3 linked regions of the Oryctolagus cuniculus genome follow. The protein of the gene in region 2 interacts with the protein of the main gene of each other region in a biochemical or structural test. Links are inferred from orthologs where the notes say so. Each region holds a gene or a part of one and is shown on either strand. Other genes may lie near its edges.

What was found.
Region 1: of the proteins of FBXL17 (region 2) and SUFU, one has a biochemical effect on the other in vitro, tested with the Homo sapiens proteins (2 studies listed by BioGRID, with this or other methods). The link is inferred for Oryctolagus cuniculus from reciprocal best matches to the Homo sapiens genes FBXL17 and SUFU.
Region 3: the proteins of FBXL17 (region 2) and KLHL12 form a complex in vitro, tested with the Homo sapiens proteins (3 studies listed by BioGRID, with this or other methods). The link is inferred for Oryctolagus cuniculus from reciprocal best matches to the Homo sapiens genes FBXL17 and KLHL12.

Annotation. Positions count from the first base shown.
Region 1 is NC_091446.1:27,386,843-27,390,497, forward strand, and holds part of SUFU (suppressor of fused homolog), read right to left. Parts: coding exon 3,650-3,655; intron 1,991-3,649; coding exon 1,905-1,990; intron 1,657-1,904; coding exon 1,584-1,656; intron 1-1,583. UniProt on the Homo sapiens protein: Negative regulator in the hedgehog/smoothened signaling pathway. Down-regulates GLI1-mediated transactivation of target genes. Down-regulates GLI2-mediated transactivation of target genes. Part of a corepressor complex that acts on DNA-bound GLI1.
Region 2 is NC_091445.1:30,982,073-30,985,727, forward strand, and holds part of FBXL17 (F-box/LRR-repeat protein 17), read right to left. Parts: intron 2,162-3,655; coding exon 1,904-2,161; intron 1-1,903. UniProt on the Homo sapiens protein: Substrate-recognition component of the SCF(FBXL17) E3 ubiquitin ligase complex, a key component of a quality control pathway required to ensure functional dimerization of BTB domain-containing proteins (dimerization quality control, DQC).
Region 3 is NC_091444.1:18,659,045-18,662,699, forward strand, and holds part of KLHL12 (kelch-like protein 12), read right to left. Parts: intron 2,700-3,655; coding exon 2,546-2,699; intron 1,533-2,545; coding exon 1,315-1,532; intron 1-1,314. UniProt on the Homo sapiens protein: Substrate-specific adapter of a BCR (BTB-CUL3-RBX1) E3 ubiquitin ligase complex that acts as a negative regulator of Wnt signaling pathway and ER-Golgi transport.

The sequences.
Region 1 (3,655 bases), on a different chromosome or scaffold from region 2:
GCCCTGCTCCAGAAGGCAGCTGCCTGTGGCCTGCCAGAGCTTTAGAGAAGGAAAGGTTCAGAGACAGCACTGCCCTGCAACTGGTGGAGGGGGAGCAGGAGCCACGCCCATGGCAGGCACCTGGTAGGATGCCTGCTGCTCCTGCTCCCTGAGCAGGCCATAGCAAAAGCAGGCATGCTCCTGGGTCTTTCAAAATCCATCCACATGCTGATGAGTGCTTCTTCTAGGACACTAAAGACGGTGAGGCTGTCCAGGTGGGCCACTGTGAGGGGCAGCTGCAGGCCTGCGTGTCTGAAGACTCCTTTACACATGAAGGATGCTGACCTAGCCAGCAGGAAGGGCAGCTCAGTATCTGACTGCTCAGGCTGGAGCATGTGTCTCAAAGGAGGAGCAGGGCCTCAGGCCCACCAGCGCTGCAGCTGGTCAGGGAGTGGTGTCACTTGCACCACTGTCTGGCAAGGGGCGGAGGTGGGGGTGAGAAAGCTCCCTGAAAGTCTGTGTGTGTGTGTGTGTGTGTGTGTGTGTGTGTAAGACTTACTTATTTGGAAAGCAGAGTGACACACATAGAGAGAGGGTGAGATGAGGAGGGTGAGACAGAGAGGGAAGAGAGAGAGAGAATAAGATCTTCTACCCACTGGTTCATTTCCTAACCAGCTGCAATGACCAGGGATGGTTTAGACCAGAGCCAGGAGCCTGGAACTCCATCTAGGTCTCCCACGTAAGTTGAAAGAGTCCAAACACTTAGGCCATCTTCTGCTATTTTCCCATGCTCATTAGCAGAGAGCTGGATCCAAAATGGAGCAACCAGGACTCAAATTGGTGGCCATATGGGATGCTGGTATTGCAAGCAGAAGCTTAACCTGCTGTGCCACAATGTGAGCCTTGTCTGTGTTCTTTACGAAGGGAAAATTATGGGGCCGGTGTTGTGGTTAAGCCTCTGCCTGCAGTGCTGTCACCCCGTGTAGGTGCTCGTTGGGGGTCCTGCCTGCTCCACTTCCAATCTAGTTCCCTACTAATGTGCCTGGAAAGCAACGAAAGATGGCCCAAGTGCTTGGACCCCTGTATCCATGTAGGAGACCCAGAAGAAGCTCCTGGCTTCTGGCTTTGGCCTGACCCATCCCTGGCTACTGTGGCCATTTAGGGAGTGAACCAGTGGATGGAAGACCTCTCTGTCTCTCCCTCTCTCTCTCTAACTCTGCCTTCCAAATATATAATGAAATAAATCTTAAAAAAAAAAAAAAAAGAAGGGGGAAGTAAAGGAATGAATATTTGGCAAGAAAGCCATATCTACTTATTTTCTTTCATTGCTAGAGATCTAATTTTTAAAGTTGACACATAATTTGCATACAATAAAATTCACCCTTTTAAAATGCAAAATGCATGTGTCTGAGATAGACTTGCCTGGGCTGAAATCTACGCTCCCCTTTGTGTACTTGCGGAATTCAGGGGACAAGTCGCAAATCATGCCATATTTCTACTCAATCACATATCAGGCTCCTCTCTTTTCCCAGGATGAAAGTCAGTGTTATCTGGAAGAGGACTAGGCACCATGTGCTAGAAGGTTTCCCTCACTCAAGACATACTTGCAGGTGTGGATCGATCTCAAATATGGTTTCTCCCCTCCGCATGTCAGTTATCAGCCAGGGGCCGCCAGCGCTGTGGACAAGGAAAGGGGATACGATGGTAACTAAGGGTCTGGGGCTGACAGGCTGGGGTGAAAGCCTGCCCTGTTTGCTGCCCCAGTCCCCGAACACAGGGGAACAGTCCAGGTTACAGACTGTCAGGAAGCCCTGATGGGAAAACCAGTGCTTGAAACAGCAATGCAAAGGGAGCCCCACATGTGGGGTGAAACAGGGACCCCCTCCCGTCGCCAGGCCCCACCCCCCCAAGGGGCACGTACTCACACAGGCACAGTCCGCAGCAGCTCCAGGATGCCCTGCCCGTTCCACTGCTGGGCTGAGTGCAGCTCTTCGGTGCAGACACCGACAATCTAGGGCGGGGGACAAGATGCCACTGTGCATTAATGATCATCCCTCCCTGAAGCGCAGCCACCAGGCTCTCCTGGGGGACCTCAAGGGGAGAGACCACAGGCAGGATCTGTGCTGGGAGCTGCTGTGTCTCAAATTAGCTGGCACCCAACCTTAGAGGGGGCTGCCGCCTGGCTAGGAGATGGCTGGGTCCACAGACAGCACTGAGGCCTGACGCCTGCCTGCCCTTGCGGTGAAGGGTGAGGTTTCTGGCAGACACAAGGTTTAACGCTAGGCTGAGAGGCGGTTCAGGGAGATGTTCCCACTGTCTGGCATTATAGGGACTGCACACGGTCTGAGACCCTTCAGGCTCGGGACCACGGCCCAGATGCTCCGGCAGTTCTGCAGAGAAGCTCTTCCCTCATCAGGCGCTAAGTCTGTAAACCTCCAGGGAACACCTGAACCTCTGTAGAGACATCCTTATGACCCAAAGCCAGCACTTGCTGCAGCGTGTGTGTGTGTGTGTGTGTGGTGTGTGTGGGTATGTGTGGTGTGTGTGGGTATGTGTGGTGTGTGTGTGTATGCGTGTGGTGTGCATGTGGTGTGTGTGTGTATGCGTGTGGTGTGCATGTGTGGTGTGTGTGTATGCGTGTGGTGTGCATGTGTGGTGTGTGTGTGGTGTTTGTGTGTGTAGGTGTGTGTGTAGGTATGAGTGTGTGGTGTATGTGGGATGTGGTATGTGTATTGTGTGTGGAGTGTGTGTGGTATGTGTGTATGGTGTGTGTGGTATGTGTGTGTGGTGTGGTATGTGCATGAGGTGTGTATGTCGTGTGGTATGTGCATGAGGTGTGTGGTATGTGTGTGTATGTGTGTGTGTGTGGTATGTGTGTGTGGTGTATATGTGTGGCATGGTATGTGTGTGGTGTGGTATGTGTGTGAGGTGTGTCTGTGTATGGGATGTGTGTAGTGTGGTATGTGTATGAGGTATGTGGTGTGTGTATGGGGTGTGTATGTGTGGTGTGGTGTGTGTGTGTGGTATGTGTGTGGTGTGTATGTGTGGTGTGGTATGTGGTGTGGTGTGTGTGTGTGTGTGGTATGGTATGTGTGTGGTATGTGTGTGTATGGTGTGTGTGTGTGTGGTGTGGTGTGTGTATGTGTGGTGTGTGTGTGTGGTATGTGTGTGTGGGGTGTGTGTGTGTGGGGTGTGTGTAGTGTGGTGTGGTGTGTGTGTGTATGTGTGTGGTGTGGTGTGTGTGTGTGTGGTATGTGTGTGTGTGGTATGTGTGTGTGTGGTATGTGTGTGTGGTGTGTGTGTAGTGTGGTATGTGCATGAGGTGAGTGGTATGTGTGTGTGGGGTGTGGTATGTGTGGTGTGGTATGTGTGTGGTGTGTGGATTCACAGCCCTTCTGGGAAAGTAGAGTCCAGCTGCACCTGCGGCTGTCTGCACCTTTCCTGGTTCACAAAATACCTTCCCTGTGACCTCACTCCACTAGTCATCCTCTCACACCCAGGCAGCCCCTTCCCTCCCCTCCTGCCACCTCAGAAGGTTAAGGCAGATCATCTGCTGACAAACCATCAGCGGGAACAGAAGATGGAGGGGATCAAAGAAAACCTCCTGCTCCTGTCTTGCCAGAACTTTTCCCACAGGGAAGGCTCCAGGCAGAGGCCAACCGTGTCTCACCTGGAG
Region 2 (3,655 bases):
AAATCTTTCAAAAATGTTTCATTGTTAGAGGTGGGTTGGGATGCCAACATCCCGTGTCATTATGCCAAGGTTGAAGTCCTGGCTTCATTCCCAATTCCAGCTTCCAGCTAATGCATACCCTGGGAGGCAGCAGGTGATTGCTCAAGTAGTTGGGTCCCTGCCACAGGTGAGAAACACTGAGTTCCAGCCAATCAGCTTTGCAACAGTTTGGATTATCTGAGGACTGAACTGGCAGTTGGGAGCTCTCTACCTGTCTCTTTCTCTGTCTCTCTACTTCTCAAATTCATTCATTCGTTAAAAACAAAAAAGAATAAAAAAAAAAATCTGCTCAGAAAAAAATATGTAAAAATTCCACTGAACATTTTTTAAAGTTTCACTGTTAAGTATAAACTGCTGAGAAATTTCTATCAAAATAATTAAAAGTATGCTACAGCCATAAAATGTTAATTTTCTCATAGATTAATTTAACAGATTTGAGAACTTTATATAATGTTTTGCTAGTGAATAATGCTGTATATTACAGAAATCAATTAGTAAAACTATTAACTAACACTGTTACTGCACAATTTGCCTTTGCAGATGAAATTTGCTCCCCCTTATGAATTGTTAACATTCTTAAAACATACACTGAATTGACAAAATCCAGTACTCACTATTTAGGATACAATCCTCTAAAGTTCTTCTAATACTGGACTTTCAGTTAATTCATGTGTAACGTTAAACGACCTTCTTTCCTTGAGTGAATAATCCACTCTGAGCTGTAAAGTCTCAAGTGCCATTTCTGAAGGAAGTATTTATAATTGAAGTACTGTGCCAAATAGATTTAATTTTCACTCTTTTTCTTAATTTTATACTCTTTAATTTGGACTTGCATTGATGCCTTAATACATTTGGATTTGCTTTTGCTTTGTTTTAGGAGGCAAAGAGACAGAGGGAGACAGATGAAGACAAAGAGACAGAGCTCATGCCCACCTATGGGCTCATTTCCCAAAAGGCTAGGGTAGGGCTAAGCCAGATCAAAACCCGGGAGCCAAGAGCTCCACCCAGTCTGGTGGCAGGGACCTGACTAAGTCAGCCATCACTTGTTGCCTTCCAGAGTCTGCCTTAGTAGGAAACTGTTTTCAGGAGACAAAGCTAGGTATTGAGCCCAGGTGCTTTTGGCAGGCGACCTAAGCATCTTAACCACCATAGGCTTAAGTCTCATTTAGATGTTTTAAAGTATGTAAGTATGTCATCTAGTAACATAAAAGGGAAATTAAAAGTTAATTTTTAAAACCTCATGTTTAATCCTCCACCTTGCGGTGCCGGCACACCGGGTTCTAGTCCCGGTCGGGGCGCCGGATTCTGTCCCAGTTGCCCCTCTTCCAGCCCAGCTCTCTGCTGTGGCCAGGGAGTGCAGTGGAGGATGGCCCAAGTGCTTGGGCCCTGCACCCCATGGGAGACCAGGATAAGTATCTGGCTCCTGCCATCGGATCAGTGCGATGCGCTGGCCGCAGCGCACCGGCCACGGCGGCCATTGGAGGGTGAACCAACGGCAAAGGAAGACCTTTCTCTCTGTCTCTCTCACTCTCCACTCTGCCTGTCAAAAAAAAAAAACAACTCATGTTGACCCAAACTGCATACTATTATCTAAAACAAAACTAGGTATAAAACTAAGTAACAGAAACATAAATTAATAAAATCATTGGTCTCAGAAGTTTAATGCAAAAATTGACAGTTAATTTACAGATCACACATGGCACTGTAGTTCTCCAATGCAAATACATATTCACTGATAGATAAAAAAGATAACTCACTTTGGTTTCCAAGCATTATTTTTAACGAAGAACCTTTTCAAATGTTGCTATAAGAAAGCATCTTAAGTTAATTTCAGTAAAAGTAGTTCACAGATGTGAAAATTTACCTGTTTGAGTCCTTCATCAGTAAGTTTGTCCTGATTACCTACATGGACTTTCTGGAGTAAAGGACAGTGAGAGGCAACCGCAATAATGGACGTGTCAGAAAGCTGTTTACACCTGTAGGCTGTATACCTAAGAAGTCCAGGACACTTAAATGCTAAAACACATACTCCAGTATCAGACATACTGCGACAATCAGAAATGTTGATTTCAATTATATTCTGACTTCTTGATGCAATTTTTTCCAATAATTCATCAGTGACCTATGAAAGAAAAAGCAATAAATTGACTTTTGCTAAAAATCGAACTTAATTTCTATTCTTCCATTAAATTCTATCCTACACATAACAGATTACATCATGGAAAACACAATCAAAAGAAAACTTTTCTTATCATTAAAGCATAATAAGAATTATCATATAATAAAAAATGTATTTGGTCTTTGTCCCAAATTCCTGGCACAGAGTTCCTAAAACCCTCAAAATTTCCGGAGTGTGTCTTTTATTATAATTCATAACAAGCCCCTCTAACCACACTGGGGTTTGTACAAATGAGGTGACTCAGAGGGGGGCACCCAGGAAAGTCTCAGAATGGGGGCTGGCTACTTGAAAGACTAACTGGGGCTAAGAAGGTAGTAACTTTGCTTCTACCTCCAACCTCCAGGGAGAAGAATGGAGCTGCAGATTGGGATAAAAATTCTAAAACAGGAGATTCTTGAAAGAGAGCCTCTTGCTTGGTAAAAACATGAAAGTGCTGGGACAACAGGCACCCCTATACCTTACCCTACGCATCTTTTCTAGTTGTCTGGTCCTGATTTTGTCTTTTATAATAAGCCAGTAAATATAAATGTTTTCTGAGTTCTATGATTAGCTGTAGTTAATTATTGAAAGTGAGGAGGCAATTGGGATAATTTATAACCGGTGAGTCAGAAGTATAGGTGGCTCCTGGGACTTGAAACTGGCATTTGAAGTGGGGCCAACCTTGTGGGACTAAGCCTGGTAGGGTCTGCACTAACCCTGGGAGTTAGTGTCAGAATTCAGCTGAATTTTAGACATCCAGCTAGAATCAGAGAATTTGTTGTTAGTGTAGAAAAACTCTTCATTTTTGGTGTCAGAAAAAAACAGGGAAGAATATATGTCCTAGTTTTCATTAAAAAGCATAAAAAATCTACCAGCACTGGGAAGCTCACTTTAACAAATGTTCAAACTCACCAAAAAGTCACTACAAACAAAACCAGACTGGGATTTTAAATGTTTTGTTCTCTATTTTTAACCCAGCAAATCTTCTACACCAGTCATTATGGTGTATGAATACAGACAAGTTATACTTTATATCAGATGATGCTACTTATATAAATTTTAATTATCTCACTAATTCTATCAGAATATTACCTTACATGTAGTTCATAGTCTAAAAAATATATAATTTTGCATTTCAAAACATCAATTACCATACAAAAATGTCCATGGCAAGAAACTATGCTCAAAAAACTCAATGCTAAATATAAGTAACCATAAAATTTATGTGACAAAAAACTCACATGGCCATTTGAGTTCAAAGAAAAGAAAAATCACCCTCTACCTACTCCTTGCCCAACTACCACCTTTAAAAAAAGGAAAATACAGTTAATGCTGCTCAAATCCTGTAAGTAAAAAATAATGGAAAGAGAAAATTTACATGAAATTTAGAATGGAAGAAGCAAAGAACTAGAATGTCGTGCAACACTAGGAAGAGCCAAAGATGAAAATATCTTTGTT
Region 3 (3,655 bases), on a different chromosome or scaffold from region 2:
TTATTATTACCAGAGAGGAGCAAAAATGATTTCTTAGTCTTCTGAAGAATCAAATTTCTACCTGGGTAAAACAAGCTCAACAGGTAGACTTGATTCTAGATATTTTCTAGAAATTATTAACTGAAGAATTGGGCCACTGGAGATGAATCCTATGAGTTCAAAGATATTTAACAGCCCCATGTGTGGACTGTGGACTTTTTTTTTTTTGGACAGGCAGAGCTAGACAGTGAGAGAGCGAGAGAGAGAGAGAGAGAAAGGTCTTCCTTCCATTGGTTCACCCCCCAAATGGCCGCTACAGCCGGCGCACTGCACCGATCCGAAGCCAGGAGCCAGGTGCTTCCTCCCGGTCTCCCATGCGGGTGCAGGGCCCAAGCACTTGGGCCATCCTCCACTGCCTTCCCGGGTCACAGCAGAGAGCTGGACTGGAAGAGGAGCAACCAGGACAGAATCCGGCGCCCCAACCGGGACTAGAACCCAGAGTGCCGGCGCCGCAGGCGGAGGATTAGCCTAGTGAGCCGCAGCGCCGGCCCATGTGTGGATTTCTAACTCTAGTTCTTCGCCTCACTATAGACCTCTATGCAATAAAAAACTCTGCCTAGCTGCTGGTATTGCGGTTTGGAGTGAGAACTGCTCAGCCTCCTCCTGCTGGGTTAAGACACTGAAGGCCTGCCCGGCACAGGCAGCACCTAACCCCTCTGCCAGGCAAGCGCTATTCTTCTGACACCCAGTTGACCTGTCCCCTCCTCCTGTCCCCACCAGCCCCACAGCGCAGTCAGGACCTGGTTCCAGCTTATGCACATCCTCACTTTGAAACTTCTGTCTCTCCGCTCCACACCCGAGCAAAGGTTTACTCTCCTTCCACGTGATCTTACCCTGTATGGACTCACTACTCTCCTGTGTTCGTCTAGCTGCTCCTATTACTGTACTGTGCATTCCCGGGAACCAGGAACTCCATATCCCTGGCACAGTGATTGCTACACAGCAGAATGCTCAATAAACGTCTAAAGGAGTGAATGGGTAACAGAGAAGAGGTCAACAGACACCCACTCCACCTGCGGTTCCTGTTCACTCTGCATTCTGCCTAACAGAGAATCTCACCACTGGCATCATACATTTAATTGAGGAAAGTGACGGGCTCTCTATAAACATGCAAAGAAGCTTGATATATATAACTGTGGGGAGTTAACAAACCCTTGGCCAGTACGGACGCCTACTTATGAGGCTCTGCTACAGACACACGGCAACTTCACCCCGCTGTGCGAGTTTCCTAGCGGCCCAGCTTCGAAGGCGGCAGACACCACGCCAAACCTGTACCTGGATTTCATCGCACTTGATGAGCTTCTCCACCTCTCCCTGACTTAGAAGGATGAACTCTTCATGCTGCACCACTTCAGGAAAGTGCTTCTGGCTAAAGACCTCAGCTGCTTGCATCAGGTCAACACAATTGTGCGTTTCAGCAAAATCCCGGATACCCAGGCAGTTAGAAGGGTCCAACTGACTTTCCAAGAACTCACAGCAGGCTTGCTTCACACCTAGGACAAACAGGTGGTGAACACTTCAGTACACTTGGCCAGTATATATTCTAGGATCTCAATATCTTTTCTATCAGAGGAACCCTGGCTCAACATCTAAGAAACAGGTAAAAAAAAATTTATGCACACAAATTCCAGTTTCACTCTGTCTTATGTGCTCTGTGGCTTCAAGCAAGAACCTCACACTTGTCTCTACCTCATCTTTAAAATCAGGATGGCAGGGACACTGGCGCAACGAAACCAAAACTCTTCTAACACTGCTGCGAACCGAGCTTTAAACGCAAGTGCTGATTCAGCACAATGCACCGTTTTCTCCGTAACGTCAAAACTTACTAACGGACCCTCAGAACAACCTTGTACTGCTCTAATGGCAAAGTTCTGAGCATAAACTGAATTTTGTAATTGTGCACGAATGCAAAAGCTTCACAGTCTCAAAATCCTGCATTCAGACTGGAAATGTTAAACTACGTGTATATCAGGACTGAATATAATGAGAGCGACTGGAAATTTAAAAAGGCAGATTGGGAGCTGGAAGGCAGCCCATTCCTGTGAAAACCTACTTTCACTTTTGAGTGCTGATTTAGCTTTTATTTTCTAATTGATATTTTACATGGTTCAAAAACTTAAAGAAACAAAAGGGTTGCCCATGAAAAGCCCTCCCCCCACTCCAGCCTCCCTAGAAGAGGAGCAGTATCCATGCAGGCCACAGACAGTCTCAGTTTCGTTAATTTCCTTACGGGGAGGAGCACCAGGTGCACAAACGTAAGGAAATGCATACACCGTGCCCTCCTCCAGGTCTTTAGGAGCAGAACAGGTGGAACTGTTCTCCCTCAAAGAAACAAGCGCTCATATCGCGAGAGCTCCCTTTACATGGCTATCGACACCTGGTATTCTGCCGCCCACACAAAAGCCAAGGGCAGTGAAGGCAAGCGTCCCGAGTCTGTCTCCATCAATGTCACGCGTGAGTCTGCAGCGCTCATTCCAACACCTCCGGGGACACCTGGGGCGCGTACCTTTCAGCTGCAGCAGGCAGGCTGCGGGCAGCAACTCCTGCACGTTCTCCACCGTCACGTGCACCGTCTCTGTGTACACGAAGTCCAGCAGGATCTCCATGGTGGACGCCGTCAGACCCTGGATATCAACGTAAGGCTTCCCCTTCTCTGAAAGCTACAAACTCCGAGTAAGAATGATGCTCAGACTCTCACAAGGCAAACGCAGCATCTCCAACGCGAGAGCTGAAAGGCTGATGATAGTATGAACTGAACACACATTAAACAAACCACTCTATTTCGCTGGACTTGTATAGAGCAGACAGGACATGTATTTGTAGCTTTTTGAATGGGGTGGGCAGTTACCTGAACCCCAGATATACACAGTAGGTGGCACCTTCTGGAATATCAAATTTATTAGTGAATAACTGAAAACACTGACTTCACACTAAAACAGAGTTTACTGTCGAATAGAATGCAAAAGTTCCATGAACATACCACTAGTGCTCATGAACTTCTTTTTAAAAAAATTTATTTATTTACTTATTTGATAGAGTTACACACAGAGAGAAGGAGAGGCAGAGAGAGAGAGAGGACTTCCATCTGCTGGTTCACTCCCCAACCGGATGCAACGGCTGGAGCTGCGCCGATCCGAAGCCAGGAGCCAGGAGCTTCCTCCGGGTCTCCCATGCTGGTGCAGGGGTCTGGGACTTGGGCCATCTTCCACTGCTTCCCCAGGCCATAGCAGAGAGCCAGATCGGAAGTGGAGCAGCTGGGACTTGAACCGGCGCCCATATATATGGGATACCAGCACTGCAGGCTGCAGTTTTACCTGCTACGCCACAGCACTGGGCCCTGCTCACGAACTTTTAAGACACAATAGTGGGGTAAGTGCTGTGGTGTGGCGGGTAGAGCCACTGCCTGCAGTACTGACATCCCATATGGGCACTGGTTCAAGTCCCAGCTGCTCCATGTCTGATCTAGCGCTCTGCTATGGCCTGGAAAAGCAGTGGAAGACGGCCCAAGTCTTTGGGCCTCTGCACCTACATGGAGACCCGGAAGAAGCTCCTGGCTCCTGGCCTCAGATCGGCGAAGCTCCGGCCACTGAAGCCAGTTGGGGAGTGGATTAGCAGA